Linked DNA regions of Astyanax mexicanus. The main gene of each other region encodes a partner of the protein of the gene in region 4 in a complex. Links are inferred from orthologs where the notes say so. Each region holds a gene or a part of one and is shown on either strand. Other genes may lie near its edges. The genes, in order: snrpd1, eftud2, snrpg and snrnp200.

Region 1 (6,826 bases), on a different chromosome or scaffold from region 4:
TTAGTTATAAAGAAATAAACTCTGACCTGAGCCTCGTCCTCGCCTGTGATCAGGCTGACCTCAGGGGGTTTGGGTAGCATGTAGGCGGTGAGTTGGGTCACCATGTGCACTTGGCGGGGATCCTGCCACGGCGACATTCCTGCCTGGTGCACGAACACCATGGCGTACAGAGTTCCATTCTTACGTGTCTTCTTGGGCAAAGACACATTTACTAACCTTTAGTGGAAAAAAGATAGAAAGAAGAGAATGCCTTAAATTAATCTAACATTTAATATTATTAATAAAATTCACAACTTCATATCCATTCCAAATTTTTTCCAGCATGTATTTAGCAAATACATAGTCAAATCATTTAATTATCTGAAATTGGTCTACAGCAATAAGGCAATAAAAAGAAAATACAAACCACTAAAATAGCCAAGAGTGCCAATGCTACAGAGTAAATTGTCACTGTCCAATAAAAACAAGCATCTCCAAAACAGCATTTTATCAGGAGAGAGATATAACCTTCTTGACTTTCAATTAAAGTCAATGTAAAAAAAAAAATGTAAAAAAAATAAAATTTCAGGTCAATTTCAGGTCATTCCAGAGAACTTCTATTGGTCCATTCATTAAGAATTTTTTACATACTGTAAAAGCGTCAGTTTGCGTGTTTTTAAATTACAGTATGTAATAAATCGAAAAAAATATTTTTTTAGGTACATGTTTTTGACAGCGATGATATACTATAAATAAATCTGCAGTGTAGGTTTGGCAGGGTAGTACACAAAACTGTATTTATTAAATATTTATTAAGGATATTTGTGTATAATCAGCTTATATCACACTTTAATATATGCTACATTCTTCATACTAAAAAACTATTTAGTAGTAGGAACTGGAATAAAGGTAGGACATACCCACAGCCTTTTTGAAATACCATTATTTTTCACACTATGAGGCCACTCTGCTGAAGTACAGCTGAAGTTTCTCCAGAAGTTTCACCAGCACCAAGGCTGGAGCAGTATTAGCATTAGCCGCTAACCTCAAAAGCTCCTTCAATCTATAAATATGAAATATGATCCTCAGAAGTGAGTTGTTTAAGTCTTTAAACTGGAACATCTTGCTCTATATTAGGGATTAGGGGTGTTAAAACCTGTCCACATTGGCTTTGTGTGGCCAATGTATACAACAGAGTAAGTATATCCAATGTATTTGGTGAATCCCCACTACTAACTAAATGACTACAGAACTTTACCTCTCAAATCTGGTGTTCACATCAAAATCCTCCTCTCTGTGGATCAGACTGTGGCCACCTTCAGTGTTGGGTCGTAATGCTGTGTAGATGCTTAGCTGTGGTGAAGATAACAATGAAAAATATATTTTTTTAAAATGACAAGACAGACTTTATACACAGTTGGTTTGAAGAGATAGCCTCAGCAACATCTCAGGGCCTATGGAATTAATGTTTAAGCAATAATACAATAATAGGAGTGGGAGTGCTATAACTTGTAATTACAGCAGTGCTAATATAACATGTTATAGCACTAACCTCAAGCGTATTGTTGAGATTATACTACAGTTTCATTACCACTGTTTATTAAAATATTTCGAGTTAAAGAGGAAGAGAAAATACGATATGTTTGGTTATAAACACTCTGCAAGTAAAAATAGTTCCATTGCTGCTCTGTTTGTAGCTGCGCAGTTTAGCTTGTAAGCGCTGCATCGTTGCTAGGTTAGCTGTATGTGGTGGAGTAATTCATGGAGAGCTTCGGTTAGTTACAGTGCATTACCGGCTGATAACGGCACTCATAGAACACCTACCTCTCAGCCAATCACATTGCAGGGTTGGAACTAACTTCTACCTCTGTAGCACCTTCACAGTTTTGAACTGTGATACAGGCGTGGATGATGTTTCCGTGTACTTTGGTAGGTGGACACTTACAATATGCAGATCAGTCAATCAATAATAGCGCCCCCCTGCTGACACCAATCATCTGCATCTTACCGCTATCAGAGGCACAATGCCGATGCTGCAGCTCAGCCAATCAGCTCCCGCTCCTGCTCTCCCACCCCTAAACCCATACATCACCCAGTGCCCCTCCCAAACTAACTAACCCCTCCCATTTTTTTGTTTAGCATTTGTTCAAATTCGAGCTGAGGGTGGGGTTTAGTGCCACTTTCAAGAACCACTGATCTGAAACCCTAAAAAACTGAATTAGTGAACACAGTTATCTAAAAATTAACACACACACACACACACACACACACACACACACACACACACTGCTCACCTGCAGACGAGGCTTTCCCGCCAGGTAAGGGCTGATGCACTTGTCACTCTTGGGGTTGTCGCAGGGTTTGGTGTAAACTATGCCATACATCACCCAGCAGGTGTGCAGCACGTAGACGATGAAGACCCCCACTATGAGGGTGGTGAAGGAGGTCTTCTGGAACATGCTGCTTTAGCAGTTCCTCAACTAAAAGCTACACACACACACACACACACACTCACACCGCTAACATGCTAACCCGCTCTCAGCACAGCCCGCTCTCATATCTCAGCTCCTCTCCTCCTCCAGGTGAGGCAGGTGAGGCAGGTGAGGCTGTAGATCCTCAGTAATCCAGGTTTCTGAGCTCAGACTCAGTTTTAGGTCAGATTATAGTGTTTCATCATAAGCGAGCTCTGACTCTTCCTTCCGCCACTGAGCTCCTGGGTTGTGGGTTGCCAGATTGGTTGCTTTCAAGCTTAATTAAAAAAAGCGAGTATGGGCAGATTGCAGGTTGCAACAAGGTAAGCAAACCATTCAATTGACTAGTGCTAGAGTTATATTTTTCATATAAAAGCTTTATAGATCCAAAGGACCCAAAAGACCTAGGATAGAATTTCGCCAAACATTGAACGGGACAACAAAATACTTTATTATCACAATCAACATTGTTGTTTAGAAACAATGGAACAGTAACAAAACAAAGTTTGCCTTAACATTTAAAAATTAAAAATATATATATTTTTGAGGTAGAAAAGGAGAAACCACAATACAAAAATAAAATATAATTTTCACCTCAATAGACATCTTTTCTAGTTAATTCTTTCTTTGTTTCTTTTTTTCAAATAGAATAAAACAATACAAAAATAAGGAATTTTCTTCGCTACTGTACTTTTTTCGTCGCTAGACAGTCAGTGCATGCAGAAAAGAAAAAAAAGATTGGGTATCGATCTTTTTACATGAGCATTGCTCAATACCAATACCAGCGTTGGTATCGATAGTATCAATATTTGGATCAATCCGCCCACCTCTAACTAGGGCCCCAAGCTGGCCTGGGGCCCGCAGAAATGACAGGCTAAGAAAATGTGTGAGCTGTTAACGAAAATACGATCTTAAAATGTTTTAAATAGTTCAATTGCTGCTCTGTTTGTAGCTGTGCTGTTTAGTTTGTAAGCGCTGCATCTTTGGTTGCCTACCTGTATGTAAAAGTAATACATTGAGAGCTTCGGTTACAGTGCATTACTGGCTGATAACAGCACTCATAGAACGCCTCTCAGCCAATCACATTGCAGGGTCGGAACTAACTGTGGTATAATTTACACAAATTCTGCATGTGAAACTGTATCACTTCATCAGCCTTAAGCAATTATACCTCATATTACAATTGTACTATTGTCTTGTGTCTTACGTATGTCTATACTATTAAATTTACAATTAAAAATGCGTATTTAGTTATTAACAGTACATAGTTTAATGCATGTGTTAAAACGTACTAAAAAAAATAAATGGGGTTCAACGAGGGGATTTATGTGTAGATCTGGCAACTGTAACCTGTGACGTAGACCATGAATGGAGTTCTTCCGTGCTGCGCCGGATGTAGTCATCTGTGTTTCAGTAGCGTTTCGATAACGTTCGTTTATTAGCGCTACAATTTTTTCTCTCTCCGGCGGAGGATTTCTTTACCGAATCCACCGCTAACATGAAACTCGTCAGGTAGGCGGATTGTAGACGGTTTATTTTACGGTGTTCAGTTGTTAGATGTTGTAAATTATCCCCTGTTTGATGGATGGGGCTGGATTGTTTGTGGAAGCTAACAGGCTAAATGAGCTGCAGCGGGGCTGAGAGGCGGGAACCGGGAGTTAGTCAATGAATGAATGGGTGGATAAAAAGAGAGTTTATCTCATAAACGGAGCTATAAATGCCGTTTTAAACTAAACTCGCTCTTTGCTGGGGTGTAATTTGTCTAAATTAAGCTAGATAAAGTGAACTAAACTGTTTATACTGTGCCCCAAACTGCTAGCTAGCTAGTTTGCTAACCTAGCTTAGCTAACCTACTCAAACAGGCTGACTTTGGCTGTTTGTTAAATGTAAGTAATATAAATTTTAATACAGGGTTTAGTATCTTAAAATTATTGTATTTGGCTTCTAATCTACGTTACGTGGTTGTTTATAACCTGTGTATCCAGTTTAAGGAGAAGCTGTAGCTGCCCTTTATGTGAATTATCCGTTCCACCTTAAATTGTGCAGTAGTTACATGCTAGTCTTGCAGTTGTTAAGGTGGAATTGATAATTCACATAAAGGGCAACTACACTTACACTGCTGCAGGGCTTACACATCTACTGCACAAAATTTTAAGGTAGAACCGACAATTCCAACATGAAGGCAAGTTTAGCTTTGTAGTGAAGGTGTAGCTGCTTCTTATGTTGTAATTGTCTGTTCCACCTTAAGTCGTGCATGCAGGTCAGGAGCTGTTCGTGTGTTTGGCTATTTGTTAAATGTTAATGTTAAATACAGTTATTAGTAACTTAAAATGAGTGTATTTGGCTTTTAATCTGCGATACGTGGTTGTTTATAGCCTGTGTATTGTTGTGAAGTAGTTACGTGCAAGTCCTGCAGCAGTTAAGGTGGAACGGACGATTCACATAAAGGGCATGTAACGTAGACCTTAACTGCTGCAGGGCTTCTATGTGACTATTGCACAATTTAAGGTGGTACTGATAATTCTAACATAAAGGCAACTGTGTGTGTGTTACAGAGCCACTATATGATTTATGTCTCATTTTAAGTGTGTTATGTTCTTTTCTGCAGGTTTTTGATGAAACTGAGCCATGAAACTGTTACCATTGAGTTGAAGAATGGCACCCAAGTCCATGGCACAATCACAGGTGAGGATGTGGTGTTTTTATATTTTGATGCATTAGTCTTTTAGTAGGCTGAAGTAGAGCTTCACAATACATTTCTTAATTTTGGTTGATGCAATATAATGCTTATCAATACGAATAAAAAGAATAAAACCTTAAAACTGTGCCTTTAAATTTCGTTTCAGTGTATTATTTACACTTTTATTTGTGCCACAATGATGCAGATGATAAAAATGCTTTGTTCTGTGTACTTATGTCAGGAGTGTGCCGTCTTCTCTGCATATAAGCTGGCTTCTACACATCCAGCAGCACACCTGATTCCACTTGTTGAATCAGCTGGTCAGTCTTCAGGCAGTTGATGGCTTAAATTAAAACCTTCAGCCACACTGATCCTTTTTGTGTGAAGACCTTTTAATAAAGAGTCAGATTTTTAAATACCAAAATGTGCAATATTATTATTTTTTAATCAGAGCCTGATTGATCATATGTGCTGTATGGGTATGTTAAAGGCATACTGGCCGATCGAAGCACAGTTGTCATGGTTGCAGATCAAACAAATGCACAAAGATGGCAGCTCAGTTTGTTCAGAGCTGGGCACAGAAGCTTATGACTGACAACACTTTGATTTATTATAAGAATACGTTGATGGAAATATATAGTGGGCAATGAGCACTATATATATATATATATATATTTAATATTGTGTAGGTGTGTTCTCTTTTAAGAATGAGAAGGAAAACAATTAAAGTATGAAAAAAGTATAGAGTAGAACGTGGAAAGGAGCTGTGGAATTTCTGCATCAGTTCAGAGCACAGAAGGCAAAAATTCTGTTAGATTTGGTGTAAAGTTTCTACTATGTTAAATCTCTTTTTTTTTTTTTTATCTGATAATCATACTTTTTCATACTTTATGTAAAAGATTGAATCCTGTTCAGGGACCAAAAAAATGTGTTTGCAAACATTTAATCATGTTTTTTTTTTTTCTATTTTGTGCTCTGGGTTTTATACATTGTATACATTAAATCAAAACTGTGTGTATAATTCAGGTCAAAAATCCACCCTTTTTAGTAAGCTTTTAGTAGTTTTTTTTTTTTTTTGTGAAGCCCTATTTAACCCTTTGTATTGTGGCTATTTAGTGGGGCATCATCATGGCTCTTGTAAAGTCTAAATCAGTTAGCAAAACACAGAACAATGAGCTATATACTGTTTAATGTCCGTATGTAATGGTAAATTTTAAGGCTTTAAAACAGGACCCTATTGAACTGGAGAAGTATCTGTCTGCCTGATAGACAAACTGACTTGTCATTTTCCCTCTTTTTATTCAGGAGTGGATGTCAGTATGAACACCCACCTAAAAGCTGTGAAGATGACCCTGAAAAACAGAGAGCCCACCCAGCTGGAGTCGCTGAGCATCCGCGGAAACAACATCCGCTACTTCATCCTTCCAGATAGTCTTCCTCTTGATACGCTGCTGGTGGACATAGAGCCCAAAGTCAAGTCAAAGAAGAGGGAAGCTGGTAAGTGCAGCACTGTGTGTAAGGGGGAGTTTAGTTATGTACAGTGTAAGAGTGTACTGCTTCTGAAATGGTCAAGAAATATCTTTGTATGAAGATGTTTCCTCTCCCTGCTGAATCATTACCTTATTTAATATTTTTTAAAATATTTTTATAAATAACCATTTTCAATACAAATATTATTTCTGTTACTTTAGACAAA
Region 2 (7,358 bases), on a different chromosome or scaffold from region 4:
GGAATGTGAACCTTCAGCCCAGTCAGAGGTCCAGAGCACTTTGGATCAGGTTTTCATTAATCTCTGTACTATGTTTCATTCAGCTTTCACTCAACCCTGACCAGACTCTTATTGACCTAAATTGCAACAAGTGAGAACACCCCCCTTATTTTTGTAAATACCTAATTATATCTTTTCATGGGAATGATATGACACTTTGATACAAGGTATCAAAGAAACTGAGGGTAAAAATGCTCGACTGGCCAAGAAGGTGGAAGGTGAAGGAGCGCAAGGTCTCCAACATCCCCCAGCTCTGAAGTGATGCCATGGAGGAGCTCTGCGAGTTTGAAGGTATATCACTGTTTTTTTCTTTTCTTTTTTTGCACCTCGTATTCAGAATTTTAGGGAGTTTTAACACTTGTGCTGAATAAATGATTCTGCATTCAGGACTGTTTTTAGGCTTTTCTGGGCAATGAGAGGAACTTTTTCACAAGATGTGAATTGATTGTGTAACTCCATTTGTCTTTCTTCTGAGTGAATAATTGCTTTTTGATGTTGTTTTTCTATTTTACTTAGATAGAAACACTCATATTGCAACGAACAGCAACAGGAGCTCCTTAGATAAAGTTTGACTTCACAGGGCAGACCTACCATCGCACCAGTGCGTTAGATTGTGAAGCTAACTGGCTATCTTTAGCTAACAAGCTGTATCTGTTTCTTTGGCGGTGCTATTCTACACAGCTCCATAATGCCTCTAGCGGTATGGTGGTATGTAAAAAGTCCATATCAGTTTTCATTTTCCAGCACTACAAACTACTTTACATTGTAACAATGTATCATATATTCAGTGAAAAGGTATATTAAAATAGACTAAAAATGTGAGATATAAATATTACATATGTAATTCACATATTATATATATATATAACCTTTAACTATTCTCTGGAAAATATCCTGTACTTGACTAATACTTGATTCATACCCTTGATTTTAGAAGACACAATGAATGAGCAGATGCCCCAATACTAAATAAGTGTGACTGCAACAAAGACTTACTCCATGTCATAAACTGTAGCTGGCAACTCCTGCTCCATAAGAGTGAACTGCTTTGTTTTCACAGGTTTAATAATAGGCTCTATGTGAGAAGGAGAAAGAAACAGACAGACAGAGAGGGAAAGTAAGAGGGAGAACAGTTTTAGATGCAGCATCAGTGACTACAATTTTTATAACTAAGGTTTTACTGTTTTAAATACAAATTCTACACAACACATCACATTACAATCACATTTTTTTTTATTTGCTGATGTCAGAACATTTTAAAAGAAAGTAAAAAAATGAACCTCATATAGAAAAAAAAAAAAAAAAAAAAAAAAAAAAAAAAGTCCTTTACCAGTGAGAGGCTGGGTGTCCTCTTCCTGGACTATAGTCTCTACCTCCGGCCCGTACACTTCTTCTGCAGTAGGGTAGTACTTTTTATCCTCGTGAAGCACCACCTCCATCCCACCACCACCACCACCACCACCACCATCTTCATCCCCCTCCACCTGGTCATCATCATCGTCATCTTCATCTGCCTGCAGAAACCACACATTAAATTATACACACATTGCCAAAATAAAGGAAATACCAAGTTGGAACAGAAAGCAACTCAAACTCAAATCAAACTCGATGTGTGCTAAAATATTAAAAGCAACAAATACACAGATAAACAGCCCTGTAAATAGATTATTACGCACAAAGTTTATTTGAGCTGTTTACCTCATCTGCATCCCGGTCTTCTGCATCTACATCTTCATCTTCATCAGAGTCCAGCTCTGGCCCGATGTAGTTACCAAACTCATCATACAGATCCGTCTCCATGATGTTGCGGCCTTGTGCGATGGGGTGTCAACAGCACCTCTGGCAGCAATATTGAAAGAGAGAGATTAAATGAATACTCTTAGTGTGCAGATTACCAGCTACAATAAACACTTTGGTTTTATTGTTCTACTTTTATACTTGAAATCAAGTATAAAATCCTTTCAGCTTGGATCCAGAAGCTTATTTCAAATATAGTTAGCCTAACAAGGCTAATACACATCAAATCATAGAAATGAATGCATTTAATTAAATGAGTTACAAAAAGCAGCATTCTAAGTGAAAACAACCTTTGAACTGAGAAGGGAAAAAAAGAAGGCAAGGATCATCAAGCTACAAGATAATATCAGAATTAGAACTAATCCTACCACCTTACACCTAATGATTTTCAAGCAATTTCACAATTTCAATCTAATTTTAATCTAAAACAAAGGCAAATGTATAGCAGTGAAACTATGATTCTTTACAATACAAGGTTGTAGCAAAACACATCATGTATGCATGTATGTATGTGCGAGAGGGTGTCAGACTTCAGTCTGTTAAAAGTCTTTTCAGAGTCTTTTCAAAGTCGTGTAGTGTATGGACAGCATTAGGGATTTCGTGCATCCCATAATTTCTGCGACTTGCATCGTCACCACCCTGTCTTTGTATAAAACACACGAACCAGTGTTAAACTTCTGGGCTATTTAGCAGCCTAATTTACTAGTAAACACAACACAAGGGCGCCAATGGGAACACAGCCTTCAGCTAAGCTAAGCTAACTTAGCTATAGCAAGCAAACAACGCTCAGCTAGCCTAGCTAGTTTAAAAAAATACCCAAACCTCCCTCAATTTAACCGGCTTATAAAAAAAACTGTATGTACGAGGCTCTGCTCGAATTTGACCGGTCTATCTACACCGTTAAATCCAGGTAACGCAGCTCGTGCTCAGGCTCAGCCCATGTGAATGAATGGGTTCGGGTTTAATATCAGATCATCTAAAGCTTCTCCACTTGATTACGCTCAAATTCACACTCAGATCTCAAACGGACAGCATAGACTTTACCTGCGATTAACCGAAGCCTCTGTTTCACTCCGGAAACAGTACAATCCGCTTTATTTGTTCACTGATTTATTTATTTTTCCCTCGCACTGTTACCAGGCTGCACACCGCCGGGTCCTCGCACAACCGAAACGTAAGGCGAACGTTACTGACGTCGCGGCGAATACAGGTATCCCGTAATGTGCCTGAATTCAAATACAGCACATGTTTATTCGTGCAGCGGTTTTCTAAACATTAAACACAGCCGTGGATATAAAGAAACAACACGATTATACGGTCATACTGTGCGGTTTACACCAAGGTAAAGGGTTTAAGTGTTTAAGCGTTTCTAGCCGCTTACACAGAATCAGGCAAAAAGAGGCAAAAAACAGAATGCAAAGCTAAAATATTACATTGCAGTAACTTAAGAGGCCTGAAGAAGGCGCCCTTACACACCATTACACCAGCCCCGATATACAGCTCTGGAAAATATTAAGAGACCACTTCAGTTTCTGAATCAGTTTCTCTGATTGTGCTATTTATAGGTATATGTTTGAGTAAAGTGAACACTGTTGTTTTATTCTATAAACTACGGACAACATTTCTCCCAAATTCCAAATAAAGAGCATTAGAGCATTTATTTGCAGAAAATGAGAAATAGCTGAAATAACAAATAAGAGACAGAGCTTTCAGACCACAAATAATGCAAAGAAAGCAAGTTCATATTCAGTCAAGTTTTAAGAGTCCAGAAATCAATATTTGGTGGAATAACCCTGGTTTTTATTTACAGCTTTTAGCTTTTTTTTCTTTTACTAATACTTATTTTAATGAATAATTTTATCTTATGTTTTATCTTATTTTTTTGTGTGGATCTTGGCTCCGCCTACAGGTAAGGAGTGTATTTCAGGTTTTTCTCGATGCTGTTAATGCAGTTTTTTGTGCTTTAAATATGCATTTGTTGACAAGGTGAAAGAAACAGAACTAGCCTCTAAAGTGAAAATAGCATGTGGACTGAGGCGTTGGAGTAATATTACACGTTTTTAAGCTAAAATGTCTCAGGTTACAGCATTTTACAGTTCTCGCAAGAGTTACAAAGTGCAGTTAGCAGCATGCTAACCCTGGAGTGCTAATTACTGAAATAATATTCTGCCTAGTAAACAAGTCTGTGGAATATCAACTCTAAATCTGTACCTGTATTTCACATTGATTAAATGAAATTCCACCATTTGGATACTCTTTGGCAAGTGTTTAAAACACTTTTATTTGATAAAATAATGGCTAACACCAATGCCCTCCACATGGGCAGGCACATAAATATGAACATGAAAGCGTTTACTGTAAATGGTCGGCTACATTTTGACACTGGCTCCACTTCAGACACTTTAACACACTTAACTCACTCTTATTTACCCAATTGTCACCTACTGGATACTCGTGTATTTTAAGCACATGCTGTAAAGTGCTTTTTCAACAACAAGTGATTTTTCAAGTGGGAAAAAATAATGTTTTTTTATGCAGTGTCTACAGTGAATCTGTATCACCCCTGTAACACACTGTTCTGTAATAACTGATTCTATTATTGTATATTCTCTATTTATAATATGGGTCAGCAAAACAGACCTATAAAACATTGTAGGCATTTCTTTGAGGCCATTCATTTAAAATGAATGGAGAGTTCAGCCTAACACATACCTAGTAAATTGAATACATCTAAAAATAGCCGCAGAAATACAGGCCTACATGCAGCACACAGGCATGACCTGACCTGAGGTTTTTGGAATGACGACATGGAGAATCTTTTGAAGAGCAATGCAGGCAGATTTCATTTTTTATTTTACCCCAAAATCAATAAACTTTAAAGTCACCCGTCTTCAGAGAGAAAAAAATGAATTTGATCTTTAAAGAGTGTGTGTGTGTGTGTGTGTGTGTGTTGCTGTTGGAAGTGAGGTTGGTGGGAGGTTGAAGGAGAGACATCAAAAAACAGGCTTCAGACTATTTCAGATGCTTGTTCATGTATATAAAGGCTTTCAATGGACGTCTGAATTAACATATTTAATTAACACCAGATCAAAACTGAGAAAAGCCTGAAGATAAGACCGGAAAACTGTCAGTCAGGCAACAGACTGATAGAGAAACACTGACAGGGACAGACAGTGGCAGTGAAAGACAGACAGACAGAGACATGGACGTACAAACAGAAAGACGGGTTTAAGACATTGCCTTATAGGCAAAGAATTCCATCATTTTAACATATTTTACCTCCTAGGACCTGACATTTGCATGTGTGGACATCACATATTGGGTTGTCTAGACCACAACACTAAATTTTACTCTACAAGGGCCTGCTTTCCTCTTTTGAGACCATTATACTCCTCCTAGTGGTGGCAGAAGAGTTTAACACGTTACAGTTGTGATATTGTTCAGAAATTGAAAATGAACAGTAAATACAGTAAATGTTATGATTTTTACTTTATGTCTTTGTGTTGAAGCAGCACTTTAAATGAGCCATACTGCTCAAAGAGGCACAATTGATTCTACTTTGGTTTTGCACTTCTGGGCACAAAATAAATGTTTTGCACATCATTACTAAGTGCAACATTGTGTTCTATCCAAATATAAAACTAAAGTCCTCATATGTGGACATCTTTTATTTTTTATTTTTTCCAGAAACTCCATCATGCAAAGATAATTCTCTGTTTTTGCACTAATCTGGTGCCAATTAACCCGAATAAAAGAGACATAAAAAATGCTTGCCATGCAAGAGTTCGGGTCATGCTATTTGGTTTCTTTCCCAAAACAGATCCATGATTAATTAAAACAATTAACACATGCCTTTTCCACATTTTGAGCTGCAGAAGGCATACTTTTCCCGACGTTACGATAGCAAAGACACATTGACAAGCCCTAAATTAAGCTGCACAGTGTGCAATTGACGGCTTGCCAATACATCGCTAAAATAGGGCCGAAAGTGTTACCTCAGGGAATGGCTTCAGAATGCCCACACCTGTATAAACTGTGAGGATTTATCTGGTGATTGAGGCTTAACACTGTCCAGTGTACTTATGGCAAGGCAGCATGAGCAATGTCTGATGGTATATTGTTTAGTAATAAACACAGTATGTTATTTAAGCTAATTGTCTCAAAGTTCAGTCAGTGAACACAGTCTGAACACTATAAATAGCTTAGCAGATTGCTAAAAGCTAAGGGCTTCACATCATAAAATAAACATCACTCGACTGATATGACTGATGTCCCTGACATTTAACAGTCTGACTGGATTCTGACTTGAAAATCTGTTGAAATCTGTGGAAAATAGTTTTTTCTGCATATGGCTTCACTCCAAAGACCCATACAGATGCTTTTATTATAAATAATGTATGTAATAAAGGGGTGTTAGCTGTATCTACCAATGATGCTATGCTTATCTCTTATGCCTGGAGACAAGACAGAATGATCCTAACTGAATGAGAAAAGCAGTGTTATGCAATATGATTTAGGATTATCATTATAGTAATCAGTAGAGAAATGGAGACTGAGCACATATGCTTTTTACTCTAATTAGAAGAAGTGTATTAATTTACATTAGAACTGCACAACAAATGTGTACATTTTCAATCATTTATATAATGATGGCCTTTGTAATATTATGTAAATGATCATCTCATCAAAGTAGGCTACACTAAAAATGTTTAGTGTTCAAAAATGTGTTGTTTGCATCCTGACTAATTATTAAAGATGAAGCAAAGATTTCACTCATCATTTTGAAGATCTTTAAATTGTATTATTAATCAGCTATTTTTATTTTATTTTTTGTTGTATTTATTACTTTTATTTAGTAGTTGTCATTTTGTTTATTATTTAATCGATATATTTATTTTTGATTTTTTGTTATATATTCTTGTTCTCATGTTTTAAAATCTGTGTTTTTATCTGTTTTGTTTTATATACATTTATACATTTTTTGTTTACCTTATTTTCCCCTTATTTTATTTGTAATGTTATTCTACTGTAAGTCTTACGTTAGTTGTGCTCAAATTTGTTCTCTTTTTTATATTATTGTAAAATAAAATAATGTAATATTATTTTTATGTTCTCTTGCACTCCCTCTATCTTTTGTAAATGCTTTACCACTTCAGATTTAAAAAATCTAAATTTTGCAGCCTACAATGAGAATTTGCTACATTAGTACACTATTACAAATTAAAAAATGTGTTATTTTTAATCTAAAATGAATTAAGTTATATTGCAAATTTATAAATACAAGTAGTTTACTCCATTTATATGACCTAGGTGACCTAAGAAACTTTGACTTTGAGAGAGAGAGAGAGAGACAGACAGACTGACTGACAAGTAGACAGACAGACAGACAGACAGACAGAGAGAGAGAGAGAGAGAGAGAGAGAGAGAGAGAGAGAGAGAGATTCTCATAACGCCCATATATTTACATGGACTTCCAATAAATCTATGATTCCACTGGGTGGAATATCATCTCATGTCCTCAT
Region 3 (7,706 bases), on a different chromosome or scaffold from region 4:
TAGACAGCTTTAAATAAAATGTGAACTTGCAATATCACATCTGGAAATTGTGAAATGGAGAAATAAAACAAACATTGTATTTAGTGCGTCTTAACCCGTTTGGGAAAATTATTTAAGGATTTGTTTTTTTGGATAAACAAATTTAAGGCCTTTTAAGACTAAGTATTTACAGATATCCTGATTTTACAAGTTGTGCAAACAGAAGCAGATAGAGTGTTCGAGACAGAGATTACTTACCACCATGCCAATGGTGTTCTGTTGTCCCCCTGGGGACATTTCTAAGCAGTCATCCACCACCAGATTCATAAAGGGGTCAAATCCTCTGAGGATACCTTGGACATGCCGACCACCATTAAGCTTTACTAAACAAGAAAAGAGAGAAAAGAGGGAAATATTTATAAAAATGTATAAAAGTAATACAACATTCTAAAAAATAGTGTAAATAGATCATGTGTACAGAAGATACAAAACATCAGTGCAGTATGGGCAACACTATCCTTCCAATATAAAAATCTGCTTTAGACAAGCAATGTAATAATTAATGTAATATGCTTAATAACAAAACACATCAAAGTTAGTTGGATGCAACCTATATTATGTCTCCTAACATTAGATTATTTTCTACCTAGAAACATCACAATGGTAACTTGGGCACAGGGGCAGGTTAAGTGGAGATTTCAGGTCATGCATAGAAAGAATGTGGTATAAGCAACGATAGTGTTACTCTTTACAGTTTAAAATATGTGCATCCAGACTGACCTACGAATAAATCTTGTTACTGAGGATGGTAAATGCAATTGTTGTGGGTCAGGGTAAGGTTTTTCAGTTTAATTTTCTGACCAGTTGCAGACAAATGTGAAAGAACTTAAATATATGGACTGTTCCAATCATTTCAGAGTCCTCACCAAGGTTTGTCTGTTACACTGTGCACATTTAGTCCAGTTAGTCTTGATTAGTTTCACAACGCAGTTTAGTGACTGAACACACTAAAGAACTTTGTCTTTGATAATAAGAACATTCACAACAATCACAAACATGGGCTGTTATCCCCTATACTTTACACAGATAGTTTTGTAGACTGTGGTCAGTTCTACAAGTTGCTTTTCCAGGATTACATTCAGATTCCTTTATTTTATGTAATCTGTTGTACCCACACTGCTGGCTTGAGGCTAAATTCAAAAACTGAAAACGTAAAAGTGTAAAAACTTTTATTTATTTATTTTTTTCCACATTTGGTGTAGTGGAGAAGAAATGGGATTTTATCTATTTAAGTATATATATATATATATATATATATATATATAATTTCAGATTCAGCCTAACAATGAAAAACGTGACTTAAATGACACTCACATGACAGCTTCTTGTCCATAAACCTACAAAAAGGAAAACAAAGAGTTTAATAACAGACAGCGCATTTATGCTGAATCAACATTTTTAACCTCTGATGCCCTCAAACAATACTGACCGATATCAGAACTGATTTTTCAGTTTTACGTTGATTCAATGATAGTGTTATACTTAATGTTTGTATTGAAATTTATTAACATTAAATACATGGGTACAATACCAGTCAAATGTTTGGACACAATCATTCCCAATGTTTATCTTTATTTTGATTATCTTCTACATTGTAGATTAATACTAAAGCCATGAAAACAATCAAGGGACACATATAGGATCACATAGTAAACAGTAAAAGCAGCAACTATTGTTTAGCACCTCTAGGAAGTGCTTCAAGGCGCTGAAAAAACTATTCCAGGTGATTCTCCTCCCTTATGAAAACACTGAGATTAAAATACAAAGAGTATGCAGATCTGTCCTCAAAGATAAATGTGATACTTAGAAGAATCTAAAGTAGCACACATATTCTGTTTTATTTAACACATTTTTTGTTTACAGAATCATTCTGCGTGTGTTCCTGTATAGCTTTAATGTCTTCAATAGTAAATGTAAAATGTAAAAATTATAAAAACAAGAAAAATCCCATTGAATGAGAAGAGATGTTTGTAAACTTTTGACTGGTACTGTATATTTGTTTGTGTTCTATTCATACAGGTTGTAGTGTGTCTGGGAGTGTAGAACAGCTCCATCCATTCAAACGTTAATTCAATGTTCTCTGCTGTATGTTGAAGCTAATTAGGTTTATTGGGTCCGAATCTAAGCTTTAATTAAACTGTATGAGATTAATTAGAGTAGGATGTAAAGAGCTGCGGTGTTTCTATTGTCCGATCTTTTAGTTCAAATGGTTTTACTGGGGTTTACACTCAGCCTCTGCTACCGGGGTTGGTTAGCTTATCTATTAGCTTCAGGCTAAATGACCGCTAATTACAATACACAGCTACAGAAACCCAATGCTGAAAATAAATATATATGATATATCCCAGCTAGCGCTAATTCCGCCTGTTAGTACTCACTTCTTCAGCTCTGGAGGATGAGCTTTACTCATGTTTAATCAGCGCGGGATGTTCAGAAGCAGCAGAAGCAGCAACGGCGGAGAGATGAGCGTCGGAACTGCGCTAAAACACTGAAACACGCGCCTCACAGCGGAGGTGACGCTTCTCCCGGACTTCGGCTGCGGCCTGTACCGCCCCCTGCTGCAGCGGCGCCGCTATTACCACACACTGCCTCACCCACAGAAGCAGAAAACCCAGGACTTTAGAAACTGTATTAAAATACTTTTGGGGTAAAACCAGGAAATGAATAGCTTTACACAGCTAAAAATTAACCTCTGTGCAGCTAAAACTAAGGCTGGTTTAATTGTAGCCACGCAAAGCTTTAATTTTAAGTGCGTGGAGCTTTAATTTAAGACGTGTGAAGCTTTTAGGTCAGACTGTTGCATAGGTAGTAAAATTTACTGACTGTTAAAAATAAACTGTTGTGTTTAAGGTATAAGACAAGCGTGTGATTGGGGAGAGCATAAGGGGGGGGGGGGGGGCGGCTCGCTGTGTGTGTGTGTGGGGTGGATAGAAAAGAAGGCTCGCTGTGTGTGTGAGGTGGAGAGGGCGCAGGGTGTGTGTGTGTTCAGCCCGAGTGCTATTTTTAGCCTGTTAGCTAGTTAGCTCGCTAGCCTGTTGTTATTTTGGTGTGGTTGCAGCTGACTGTTTCAGCAATAAAGCATTGACTGTAAACGTCTTTCTCATTTATCCTTTCACCACATCCAGCCAGATGCTATAATATCTTTTTAAAAAAGGAAAGAAAAAAAATAAAACAGTGGACTGGAAATTGTAATGATTTAAGATTACTTGTTACTGAAAAAAAATGGTCAGACACTGAACACACAAACAATCTATACTGGAAGGACTAAACAAAGTCAATGAAATCTGACGTTATCATGTTGCCAATGGGAAAAAGTATCTAATCATGCTGTAGCCATGAGGGTGGGAGGCCCTGGAAACATCTCAAGAACAGGAACACCCCTGTCTACAGCTACTTTTATAATTTACTGAAGCCTTCAAAAAGTCTTCCTTGCAAACCTTTCAAAATACAAATGTACTGTCACACTTGTTAAATAGCTGTACTTACCAGATACTGTGACAAAAAAATAAATAAAAAATTACAGCACCTTTGCTGAAACCGACCATAGAAAATGCTGTTTTCAAGTTACTGCAATATTATAAAAGGTCTTGCACAAAATCTAATAATATTGATAATGAGAAATAGCAATGCTAATAATAATGCATGTATTAACACTAAATTTAAAAAATAATATTAAATGTCAATCATTTAAGCTGTAGTAAAACAAAATAAAATAAAAATCAGCACAAAATGTAACAGATATAGCCACTCACACTTAAAGAGCTTCCTTTTTCCAGTTGGTTTATGCGATAAAACCAGAGACCTTATTAATGAGGAGACAGGCCACTGACCACTATATGAATAGGATTTATTGTAACGCTAACCATGGCGCCTGTTTATGAATAAAGTCCCACCCTTATGTAAAAAGAATCAGTGTTTTTGTGCAGAATTTTAAAAGTAATGTTAAATGATGTAAAAAAAAATGGATTAGAGTATTTTGGTCTATCACCACCCAAACCTGGTCATTGTGACGTAAACTCCGAATTTCCATTCCTATTTTAAATACACTAAATGTACAAAAGTATTTATGTACACTAAAGTACAAAATTATATTAAAGATGTAATGTTAAATACAGCCAGGATAATCAAGCTGAAAAAAGAGAGAGAAACTTATTGGTCTACTCAGAAATATATTTTTGTAGTTTTATATTATCATGAGGAAAAAGAATACACAGAAAACCAAACATTTGGTACATTAATGTTACATTTTTGGCTCCAGCCATAACAAAAATGAATGAAAAAAAAAAGCCAAAACCAAACAATACTTATGTAACGTAATCCCTGTGGACAAATCCACCCCAAAAAAAAAAATCACATCATGAGACACAGCAGTAAATATAAAGAGGTATTCAGTTTCTTTTTGCCCATAATTTCAGGGTTCACGATGATATGAAAACATGATAAATGAAGAGTTTAGGAATATAATGCTTTCCACAATAATTTAACTGCATAAGGTTGCTGCAAAGATGCTGTAAACCACTGTCCAGAACACAGGACCTAAACTTGGCCCAAATAATAGCAGTGGACTTAGTCTGGCTCAACTGACCCATGGTCCAGTTCATTCAGACCAATTACAGGTAGTTGAGTCAAACTATCGTCACCCAATAAACAACAGAAGAAGAAGTATTGAAGAAGTGTTGTGCCAAAATCTGACTTCTTGTCCAGACATGTCATGCCGCAGTATGGGTACAACAGATTATGCTGGTGATGCCTGTATCATAACTGTAGATTAACCCTTTTTTATAAACAGAAATAAATGGAATATGAGGGGAATCTCTTACAACCATTCTCCTATATGGCATGCCTGCACTCGAAAGAAAGTCAATTTATAGTGGGGGCAGCATTTAGCACAACTCCGGGAAAGACAACTAACATAACTAAATGGACAGAATACAATGTAAGAAACACACCAACCTTGGCGTGAAAACGCCCTACACTGTAACAGCACTTGAACATGCTGAAACAAGGCACTACTTAAGATGTGCATGGTAAGGCACAGAGGTAAAATCGGCAATGTGAAAGACATTTCAGGTTTGCGTGTGTTCTATATATGTACAGGATATAACTATTAAACAGAAATACAGATCATCGCTAACAAAAGCTATAAAAAAGCATATAATCAACCACGAAAAAGTTGTCAATCGAAAAGGATAAAAAAAAAATGCAGTCCTACACAATGACTGTAGAAAAACAGACACTGTGGTGCTATTCCCTTCCATTCTACATAAATAATGACAAGAGCATCCTCCATTGTGTCAAACTTGCAACCAGAGTCAAGGGGTGGGACCAAACTCGCCTACTCAAGTATCTCAGACTGCCTTCATTGAGATCACAGCACAGACTAAAGAACAAAAAGCAAAAAGGGTTTTGTAGAACCCCAGTTTAAACAGTAAGTGTAGTATTCCAGTGGTAAACGGGAAGCTTTTGTATTTTATTACCAAACAATTTCCATTACAGCACCAGAGCTTAGCTCAGTTTCATTCTGTTGACTACTGAGACAAAGCGAAGATACTACAGCTACTAAAAGTCTTTAGAGGAGGAAAATTTAATGGAAGACCTTGGCGCGGCTGTTTCTGTCATTGAAACGTACAGGGATGGATGGATCTACGCTGCACCATATCTCTGGAGGTGTTAGACCTATGATGACTTCATATTTCACAAATGTTGCCCTGTCCATGCTTTTATACAGTCATTGCTCCTACAATAAAATCCTCAAATTTAGTAGTACCACACCAACAGAACTATGTTAATCAAATTCAACAACTATCAACAGCAGAAAGAAATCGTTCATGTTATTCGACAGTGTACAGTTTTTACATTCAGCCTGTGTATTCAGTGAACATGAGTGGCTTTGGTAAATCACAGCAAAAAAGCATACATTCATCATTCATCATTTAGAAATGTTGTTTGGCAATCTCTTAACATAACACAAACTGTTCGAAACTTAATGTCAAAGGAAAAAACAAGACAACTCAAGTATTCTGGGTGTAAAAGCCCTTTCACACTGAGTCCAATATGTTTGGACTAACGAAGCATAGCTAGCCTCACTACTATACTATAGCTTCCCACACTAATGAGTTAGATGTTCCCTTAATAATGATTACTTATGTGGAGAAGAAGAGAGCAGAAGTGGACAGAGAGCAGAGAAACAGAAGAAAGGTTTACATATATGACAGTTGTGGAATTTCTGCATTGTCAGATGTGTTAAAATCAGGCAGACCTATCAGATATAAGGTCTGTTGATTTTATACTCTGATCAATGTGCTAATTATGAAAAGGCAGAAGATAATGGAAATATGTGATGCTAATGCTTGGTAATAAACTACAGCTTCCCTAGTTAATGAGCTATAGCTTCCCTCATTAAAGAACAACAGCTTCCCTTGCTAATGAGAACTTGTGAGTGAAACAGAAAGAGTAGACATTTATCTGAAAGAGCTAGAAAGAGCTGTGGAGTATGAGCCCTGTTTGCACATTTGCATATGTGAGCTCCATGTGTATCCAAAAATATGTACTCTGTGTGAAAGGGCCTTAATTCTGACTAGATGTTACTTTGTGCCTTTTCAATCACTAAGTTGGGCATCATCATCTTTCTCATCATCATTGCTGCAATAAAAGTGTGTTTGGCAGTGCTGCAGAAAAGTATCCAGGTCCACATATGCCTCCTTACATGGCACACAGTGATAGACTCTATTCACAGAAGACCCTGCAATCTGAGGTAAAGCAATCCCACCAGTACACACGCTGCAGTGGTTTGGGGTGTGTGTGGACTGGTGGATGTCTTCATGGTGTAGCAGGGCAGACTTGGTCGTAAAGACCTCTTCACACGATGGGCAAGGGAACTCTCCGTCTTCATCTTCGTCTTCATCCTCATCTTCATCCTTATCCTGAGTACGAGCATCTTCCTTGTCTGCGATCTCCTGCCTTCTGTTTTTTGAAACAAAGCACTTTTTCACATGTTTGTTTGTCTTCTTATCAACAGGTTTAGACTTCTTTGAGGCTCTGGAGGTTAGTTTAGATCCTTTGGTTGTTTTGAGGTCTTTGGAGGTTTCGCTGGCTTTTTGAGTTTTGTCTGATTTGGCGCTGTTTGAAAGGTGGGTCTGATAGTGGCTGCTGTAGCTCTTGAAGTGTGCCCAGCGGGTGAGATGGTGCAGGAACACTTTGCCACAGTGCAGGCACGGGTACGTCTCGCCTCTTTGCCTGCTTTGCCGTCGCTTCCTGTGGCTCCTCTGCTGTCTCTTTGTGGAAGTCTTTCGCCGGTGCTCCTCTTTCCTGTGCCGGTACAGCATAGAGGTCTGAGGGAAAACCTTGTCACATGATCGACATGCAAATAACGTGCCTTTAGAACCTTGGACATGCTGCGTCACCTTCTTTTTGTTCTTTTTTACACTGTTTTGGTGATAAATGCGCTGATGGCAACTTAGACCCTGGGCAGTGCGGAATGTTTTATGGCATGAAGGACAAGTTACTGGCTTGTGATTGATCCCTGAAGTCGATGGTGGAATTGAAGCATAGGAGGGAGTGGGTGTGTCATCTGTAGACATGTGAGTCACAGTAGAAGGGGCTGGCTGACACCCTGCACCCTGCTGGTGGTACAGCAGCTCCTGCTTGTGGCTGAAGGCTTTTCCACA
Region 4 (7,027 bases):
CACTCGGCACATCATCGCGCCGTCCGTTCCGCGAGTCGGCGCCGCTGTCCTTGCGCCATCCGCTCCGTGAGCCAGTGCCGCCGTCCTCGTGCCATCCGCTCTGGGAGTCAGCGCCGCCGTGCTCGCGCCATCCGCTCTGGGAGCCAGCGCCGCCGTGCTCGCGTCGTCCTCTCCCCGGCCACGACCTCCGAACAGCCCGCTGGCGCCGTCAGGTCCGAGTCCACTCCGCTGGAGAGCCTTGCCTCTAGTCCGTTGGTCCGCTGTCTTCCTCCTCAGCCGTTCGATTTCCCCTGCCAGCAGCTCAATATCTTCCAGCAGGGTCACTTCTGACACCAAATGTGGCGTGGAAGAGGAAGGAAGACCCGTGAGACTCATGCTGAATGCTCAACAGCTCCTTTATTGAACCGGCTTGCCACTCACTTACAGTCTTTAACAAGACTAGGAGAGCTAAAACCATAAACACAGAGCTCAAATAGCCAGAAGGCCACCAACCCAGCTGTGTGTCTCCCAGATGGCAGATCCAGAGTGGTGCCCACCCTCTCTGCATAACCCCTCCCAAGGGAGATGCCCCACCCCTGTCATCCTCGCACACAGGAGAACAGAAACATGACTGCAGGCAGCCACACACACAACCCAGAGCTGCCACAATATCCTGCAATTCCCGTGTTGGTGGGAATTTTATATAGGTGCATGCAAGAGGAAGCCTCAGAAATAAAGAGGAAAAAAAATAATGGGATCAAATTGCAAACTTAATGTTGTCTTAATGCATGCAGTTCTTTAAAAGAAGTGGCGCTGAAATAAAAAAATGGAATGACTTCTCAAGCTTAGCTAAAAGAAGGAGGACTGAGCTTAGGAGAGAGAGGTCAAAAAACGGTGGAGGGCAACTGCTGACAGTGCTCCTCACCTTAGAGGAGGAAAGGGTCTAGGGTATACTGGGGCCAACTGTAACAGAAGCAATATCTGGAGGGGTTATCTGCCTAAATAAACTTACAGCCACCTCACCCCAGCCTGCCTCTTCCGTCCTGCCTTCCCCCTGCTCCAGTACTCCCTCCTCTGCAGTGCCCTCACACACAGAGCCATCAATTACAGGAACACGTACAGGGCTCGATCAGAGGGGAACAGAAGGTCCAGTACTTGTAGGTGCAGTCAGGAATTAATTGCACTGGAAAAAAGGAGGCTTCAAAGACCAGGTCCAACTGTGAAACATGAAGACCTTTAGTAGCAGCGCGAAAGACCTGCAGCAGCGTAAGACACACCACAAGGAGCTACTCAGCATAAAGAATACTATGCTTCAAATTTAAGCCAAACAGCTGGAACTGGCTGAGGCTCAGTTTGGCCACCCTTTATTTCCGTGCCAATTTTATTCCCCTCAGCACAAGGTGCTTGTTCAAACACACACACACAAAAACACAAGCTTGATGTTTCTGCATAAGATGACTGTATGTTTCTAACACTAACTTCTAATTATGATCCAGACCCAAGCACAACAGAGGAGCTCCCTGATGTGTGAGACACCTTGTCGTTTATTGTGTGTGTGTATTTTACTTTGATTGTATTGATTCAATTAGCTTTTTTTCTTGTTGGTATAAAAATGCAATAAACAAATAAAAAAAAATAGCCCAACTCAAAAATGTTTTCCAGTGTATTTTAATAAAAACATAATAAAACAAATCTTTTACAAACTTAACTAGGCACATACTTTAAAGATAAATTAACATTCAAGAAAACACATTTTTTATAATTGTATTTAGACCATTCAATCCCTCTGGGTAAAGCTCCTCTCTCCTTTCTCCGGGCAGTTTAATCACACCATCCTCCTCTGTGTCCTCCTCGTCAATGTCCTCTGTATTACATCTTTAGGATGCCCAGAGCATGCTCCAGAACGCTGCGTGTCCTTCACATGTGCCCTGTTAAACCTCTCCTAGGACTCGTTTATGATCAAATATTGTCATCCTCAAGCCTTGAGCATCCATGGGGATGTTTTTCACATACATTCATTTGGCCTACACTAATGCTCATATTGTGTATAGTGTGCAAACTGCCACAATGACTTTCTCCCGAAAGCCTGTTCCACCACACCTCTTCCATGGCTGATGCTGGCATTCCTCTGCAGCTCATCTTCCCTTAGTGCACCATTATCACGTGCAGGAATAATGACAAAAGGAAAGTCATTAGAGATATATGCAGTGTTTTCCAAAAAGGTTATGCCAAAAACTGTTAAAACACAACAGACCTTATTCTCTTTTCACATTGAGTGGGCCATTTAATGTATTTTTTTGCCAGTAAACAGGTCAGTTCCAAAAGCCCCAGGACAAATTTATGAGCCGTTCCTTGGGACACATTGAATTTATCAGCAATTTTCTGAATGAAATTTTGATTTTCCATATACCATAGAAATATTAGAGCCTTCTTAACTACAGGAGCTTGGGCTGGACCTTTTTTAACACAAGAGTTTGCAGTTCTTTAAGTTCTTTAAGATAAAACTGTTTTCTGGCTAACTGTGTATGGCTTTGGAAGGTGTGGGTGTCCATGCTCAGCAGTAGAATCCATTCTGTACCAGTTATGGGATAAAAACATCACTTACCTAATGTGTGTCTTATTCACTTTATTGTTTTAGAGTAGGACAAAATAAACCTTTTTATGATAATGGACCAATAGTATAAACAAAGGAATTTTCCTAATGGCATCCATTTCTACTCGATTCGTAATTATTACCTCCAACTTCGTAAATAATATAATATAATATAATATGATATAATATAATACAATATAATACAATATAATATATACTACATAAATAATACTTATTTGAACCCTTTCTCCCTCAAAATTGTTGGTGTCTGATGTTTAAAGTGCTGAACTACAAGCCAAATCTATTTAAAGAAGTTACTCGTTAAATGTCTCATTCCATCGTTTTTTTAATTAATTTTAAAATGTCTAGTTGTAGGTGTCTAGTTGTAGGTGTTTCTATTTATCCCTGCTTTAGATCACTGAATTAGAGGTCTCTGAAGAAAGACAGGTTTTGGCTCTTGCTCATGAATATTCATACATGCAAATATATAACCTCTGATTGGCTAGCAGCACTGCAGAAGAGAACGCCTACCTGCTCCCACCCCCCCAGTCAATTTTACAGCTCTAACACTCAAAGGACAAAATGTTTTAAGGGGTTTTAATGAATTAAGCAATAAAACATGAGAGGGAGTGCTATAACGTGTAATATTGGCACTGCTTTACTGCGTTCGTAGGCCGAGGACAAGAAAATCTGATCTGTTGTGTTATAAAAACTTAAATTAAAACATTTCCATTGCTGCTCTGTTTGTAGCTGCGCTGTTTGGCTTGTAAGTGCTGCATCATTGCTTTGGTTATGGTGCATTACTGGCTAATAATGTCACTCATAGAAAGCCTCTCTTAGCCAATCACATCAAAGGGTCGGAACTAATTGTGGTATAATTGTCTTTAATTAACGATCAATCTTCAAGTATGAGTTAATAAAGTTCTTAATGTTTTAAAAACTTTTGTAAAATGTAAAAATTTGTTCATTTATACGCTCAAACTTTGTTGTGCTTGTTTTGTAGTATTACTTTTATAGCAATGTTAGGCCAAACATGAATCTGATATAAGAAAAGTAACACATCTAGTTACACAGGTGGTTTATTGTGTCAATAACCAATCAAATTGATTATCTCTGCTGTTCTGTATTAAACAAGGGATTAAAATATAACACTACATACATCTAATGCTTATAACTTTACCGAGTCACATAGGGTTGGTTGACTTTTAATAAAAAGTTGGTGTTTTTTATACACTATATTGGTCCATGTACAGGACCAGCGCATTCAATCCAATCTGTGCAGTTTTTAAAGGAACTTTGGAACTTTGGCGGCACCTGTCGGTTCTTTAGTGGAACTGCGCCTGAAAATAATCCGCATGCGCATTCCCTACTAACCTCCAATCCACCAGGGGGGGTAAAGTTACCATTCCGGAACCACCCGGAAACGGAACTGTTTGCGTGACATGCTGCGCGCGTCGTGCGTGCGTTGTGAGTCTTTTGTGCGGGAGAGCAGAAGCAGCAGAACCCGCAACTTTTCTTCTATACCGTACTGCTATCACCCGGCCCCGCAGCTTCCCGCAGCACCCCGCAGCTCCCCGCAGGCCTGTAGCTGTAGCTGTGTGAGCGGTTAGCCCGGGCTCTGAGGATTAGCCGGGGCTTACACTAGAGCTGCAGGATGGCGGATGTTACAGCGCGTAGTCTGCAGTATGAGTATAAAGCGGTGAGGACAGAAAAATACTACAGCTCCCTTACTCTACTACTCTCATACTGTTCCACTGTAACTGTTTCTCTGTTATTATCATACTCTGTTACACTCTTAATCTCACTGTTCCAGTCACTCGGTTACTCTCATATACTTACTGTTGCAGTTAACGTTACACTCTTACTGTTTCTCTCTTACTCTTATTCTCAAACTCTCTTACTGTTACACTCATACACTTACTGTCTCTGTTACTCTCATACACTTACTGTTACTGTTGCACTCTTACGGCTTCTCTGTTACTCTGTTATTATCATACTCTATTACTGTTACGTTGTTACACTCTAACTTTTACTCTCTTAATCTTACTGTTCCTCTGTTACTCTTATACACTTTCTGTTACAGTTACACCCTTACTGTTTCTCTATTGCCCTGTTGCTCTGTTACACCTTTACTCTATTACACTCATTGTTTCTCTCTCACTCTGTTACTACTGTTACTCTTATTGGTTCTCTCTGTTCTTCTGTTACACTCCTCTGTTTCTCTGTTTCTGTTACACTCTTCCTTTGTTGCTTTTACACAGTTGTTACTTTTACACAGTTAGTATTACTTTTACACTGTTACGGTTACTTTTACATTGTTACGGTTCTTATTTCTCTCTTTTAACGTTACACTGTGACTCTGTTACACTCCTACTCTATTGCTCTGTCACTGTTACACTCACGCTGTTACACTGTTACTGTTTCTCCTTCTTATTTTCTTACTCTGTTTGTTGTTACACTCTGACTCGTTTGTTACACTTGTTTGGCACACATTAATACTGTTACACTTACTCTTTATCTAATGCACTCAGTTACATTCGTACTGTATTACTATGTAACTTTCTTACTGTTACTGTTTTACACTCTTACTCTCACTGTTTCTCTCTTACTCTGCTACACTATGGTTCTGTCTTACACTGTTACTCTAACGCTTACTGTTTCTCTGTTACTCTTTCACTGCTACACTTACTGTTACTCTCTCAATCTGTTACTGTCTCACTCACTTTTACTGTTACTGTGTTACTCTCATACTGTTATTGAGTCTGTATCTCTGTCTCTCTGTTTGTGGTTCAGAACTCGAACTTGGTTTTGCAAGCTGATCGCTCTCTCATTGACCGCACTCGCCGAGATGAACCTACAGGCGAGGTGTTGTCTTTGGTTGGGAAACTGGAAGGGACCAAAATGGGAGACAAGAGTCAACGAACGAAGCCACAAATGTTGGAAGAAAGGAGGGCAAAGTACGTATTCTCCAAATTTGCATTAACATTACGTTTCTTTTGGTATTAGCCTTCTCATTTTTCCCCTCTTTGTGTTGTAGGAGAAGAAAGCGAGATGAAGACAGACATGACATTAACAAAATGAAAGGATTTACCCTGCTGTCAGAAGGAATTGATGAGATGGTGGGTATCGTATACAAGCCAAAGACCAAGGAGACCAGAGAAACGTATGAAATCCTCCTCAGCTTCATTCAGGCTGCTCTTGGAGACCAGGCAAGTTCAGTATTTGTTGTTTATAGTTAAAACTTTTTGAAAGTGTTTAACAGCATCAAAAATATAAGCACTCTGGGGAAAAAAAAATATTCCAACATTATATTATTAGATTAGTATGATTGTAGAATCAGGTCTGTAGTACTGTATTTGGGTTGTGGCTGTGTTCTTTTTAACGTGTTTGCTTAGCTAAGCTTTATTTTGTATTATTCAATACCGCGCTCAACTTAAAAGTGTCATTAACAGACACTGCTCATGTTAGTTTTACTTTGTACTGTGAATCATGTGTAGTTTCGTGCATATTAAATTTACCTGAGTTCTGATTTATTTCGTTATTCCATCCATGTTCTCTGCAGTGTGGCAATCATAGGGCCCTGTTAAGTGCACAGTCACCATTGTGTGTACAATACAAGTACCTAGTTATTAAGATTGTCACACTGCTTTTAGGTTTGTCGCTAGGGATCCTTGTAATGTTCAATTCAGGGCTTGTATGTTTCCTTAAAATCACAAGCTTGATTGAAACCCCACATTTTTTTAAGTAGAGCATTAAACTGAGCTTTTTAACTAAAATTCAGTGTTCTAGTGAAATCTGTTCAGAGTGATGCTAATGGATAGTGCAGCAAGGATGAATCATAGGTCTGCATATCTACACTTTTTTCCAATTTATTATGCAATATTCTCAGGTTTTCCTAAACGGTCAATGCAAATAACAGTCAGTATAGTTTCAAGTCATGACCCGTATTAATCAAATTTTATTGAACAAACCCAATGATGAGCTCTGGTTAGGGGAGACTGAATAGTGGGTTTATGCACCATAGCAAGCCTCTGATGGATTCTACACCTTGAGATTTGCGGGACTCCAGAGGCACCAGCAGCTTCAAATACCTTTTTGCTGGTTTGTAATGGCATTTTAGCAGCTGCTCTCATAATCCGATTAATTTGTCTGGCTGGAGCCTTCTTCATTTTGTCTTTATCTGTACAAACCCGTCTGTGCTCTGAATCAGCCACAAATCTCTTCACAGTACAATGATCATGCTTCAGTTTTTTGTGAAATGTTGAATGGCGTTGCAGTATTTCACACTTTTCAGCAGCAGAGATCTTTTTTCTTTCCTATATTGCTTGAAACCTGTGGCCTGCTTAATAATGTGGAACAGTGCATTTTGAGGTATATTTTTATGGTTTAAAAAATACTGTTTTCATTGGGAGGTTTGTTTAATACATTTGGATTTATACCTAACAGTTCATGATT

What was found.
Region 1: snrnp200 (region 4) and snrpd1 share a complex: the UniProt entries of both Homo sapiens proteins name them as parts of the U4/U6-U5 tri-snRNP complex. The link is inferred for Astyanax mexicanus from reciprocal best matches to the Homo sapiens genes SNRNP200 and SNRPD1.
Region 2: snrnp200 (region 4) and eftud2 share a complex: the UniProt entries of both Homo sapiens proteins name them as parts of the minor spliceosome. The link is inferred for Astyanax mexicanus from reciprocal best matches to the Homo sapiens genes SNRNP200 and EFTUD2.
Region 3: snrnp200 (region 4) and snrpg share a complex: the UniProt entries of both Homo sapiens proteins name them as parts of the U4/U6-U5 tri-snRNP complex. The link is inferred for Astyanax mexicanus from reciprocal best matches to the Homo sapiens genes SNRNP200 and SNRPG.

Annotation. Positions count from the first base shown.
Region 1 is NC_064410.1:2,559,700-2,566,525, forward strand, and holds the start of snrpd1 (small nuclear ribonucleoprotein Sm D1), read left to right. Parts: upstream 1-3,802; 5' UTR 3,803-3,948; coding exon 3,949-3,962; intron 3,963-5,058; coding exon 5,059-5,135; intron 5,136-6,435; coding exon 6,436-6,627; intron 6,628-6,826. Other genes in the region: clptm1l (cleft lip and palate transmembrane protein 1-like protein), read right to left, coding at 27-216, 1,238-1,332, 2,274-2,438. UniProt on the Homo sapiens protein: Plays a role in pre-mRNA splicing as a core component of the spliceosomal U1, U2, U4 and U5 small nuclear ribonucleoproteins (snRNPs), the building blocks of the spliceosome.
Region 2 is NC_064426.1:27,201,533-27,208,890, reverse strand, and holds the start of eftud2 (116 kDa U5 small nuclear ribonucleoprotein component), read right to left. Parts: upstream 3,026-7,358; 5' UTR 2,881-3,025; intron 1,879-2,880; 5' UTR 1,840-1,878; coding exon 1,738-1,839; intron 1,554-1,737; coding exon 1,370-1,553; intron 1,115-1,369; coding exon 1,036-1,114; intron 1-1,035. UniProt on the Homo sapiens protein: Required for pre-mRNA splicing as component of the spliceosome, including pre-catalytic, catalytic and post-catalytic spliceosomal complexes. Component of the U5 snRNP and the U4/U6-U5 tri-snRNP complex, a building block of the spliceosome.
Region 3 is NC_064420.1:6,264,613-6,272,318, reverse strand, and holds the start of snrpg (small nuclear ribonucleoprotein G), read right to left. Parts: upstream 3,005-7,706; 5' UTR 2,450-3,004; coding exon 2,418-2,449; intron 1,377-2,417; coding exon 1,354-1,376; intron 363-1,353; coding exon 238-362; intron 1-237. Other genes in the region: si:ch211-148l7.4 (oocyte zinc finger protein XlCOF6), read right to left, coding at 6,639-7,706. UniProt on the Homo sapiens protein: Plays a role in pre-mRNA splicing as a core component of the spliceosomal U1, U2, U4 and U5 small nuclear ribonucleoproteins (snRNPs), the building blocks of the spliceosome.
Region 4 is NC_064419.1:15,948,749-15,955,775, forward strand, and holds the start of snrnp200 (U5 small nuclear ribonucleoprotein 200 kDa helicase), read left to right. Parts: upstream 1-4,002; 5' UTR 4,003-4,226; coding exon 4,227-4,271; intron 4,272-5,365; coding exon 5,366-5,529; intron 5,530-5,609; coding exon 5,610-5,781; intron 5,782-7,027. UniProt on the Homo sapiens protein: Catalyzes the ATP-dependent unwinding of U4/U6 RNA duplices, an essential step in the assembly of a catalytically active spliceosome. Plays a role in pre-mRNA splicing as a core component of precatalytic, catalytic and postcatalytic spliceosomal complexes.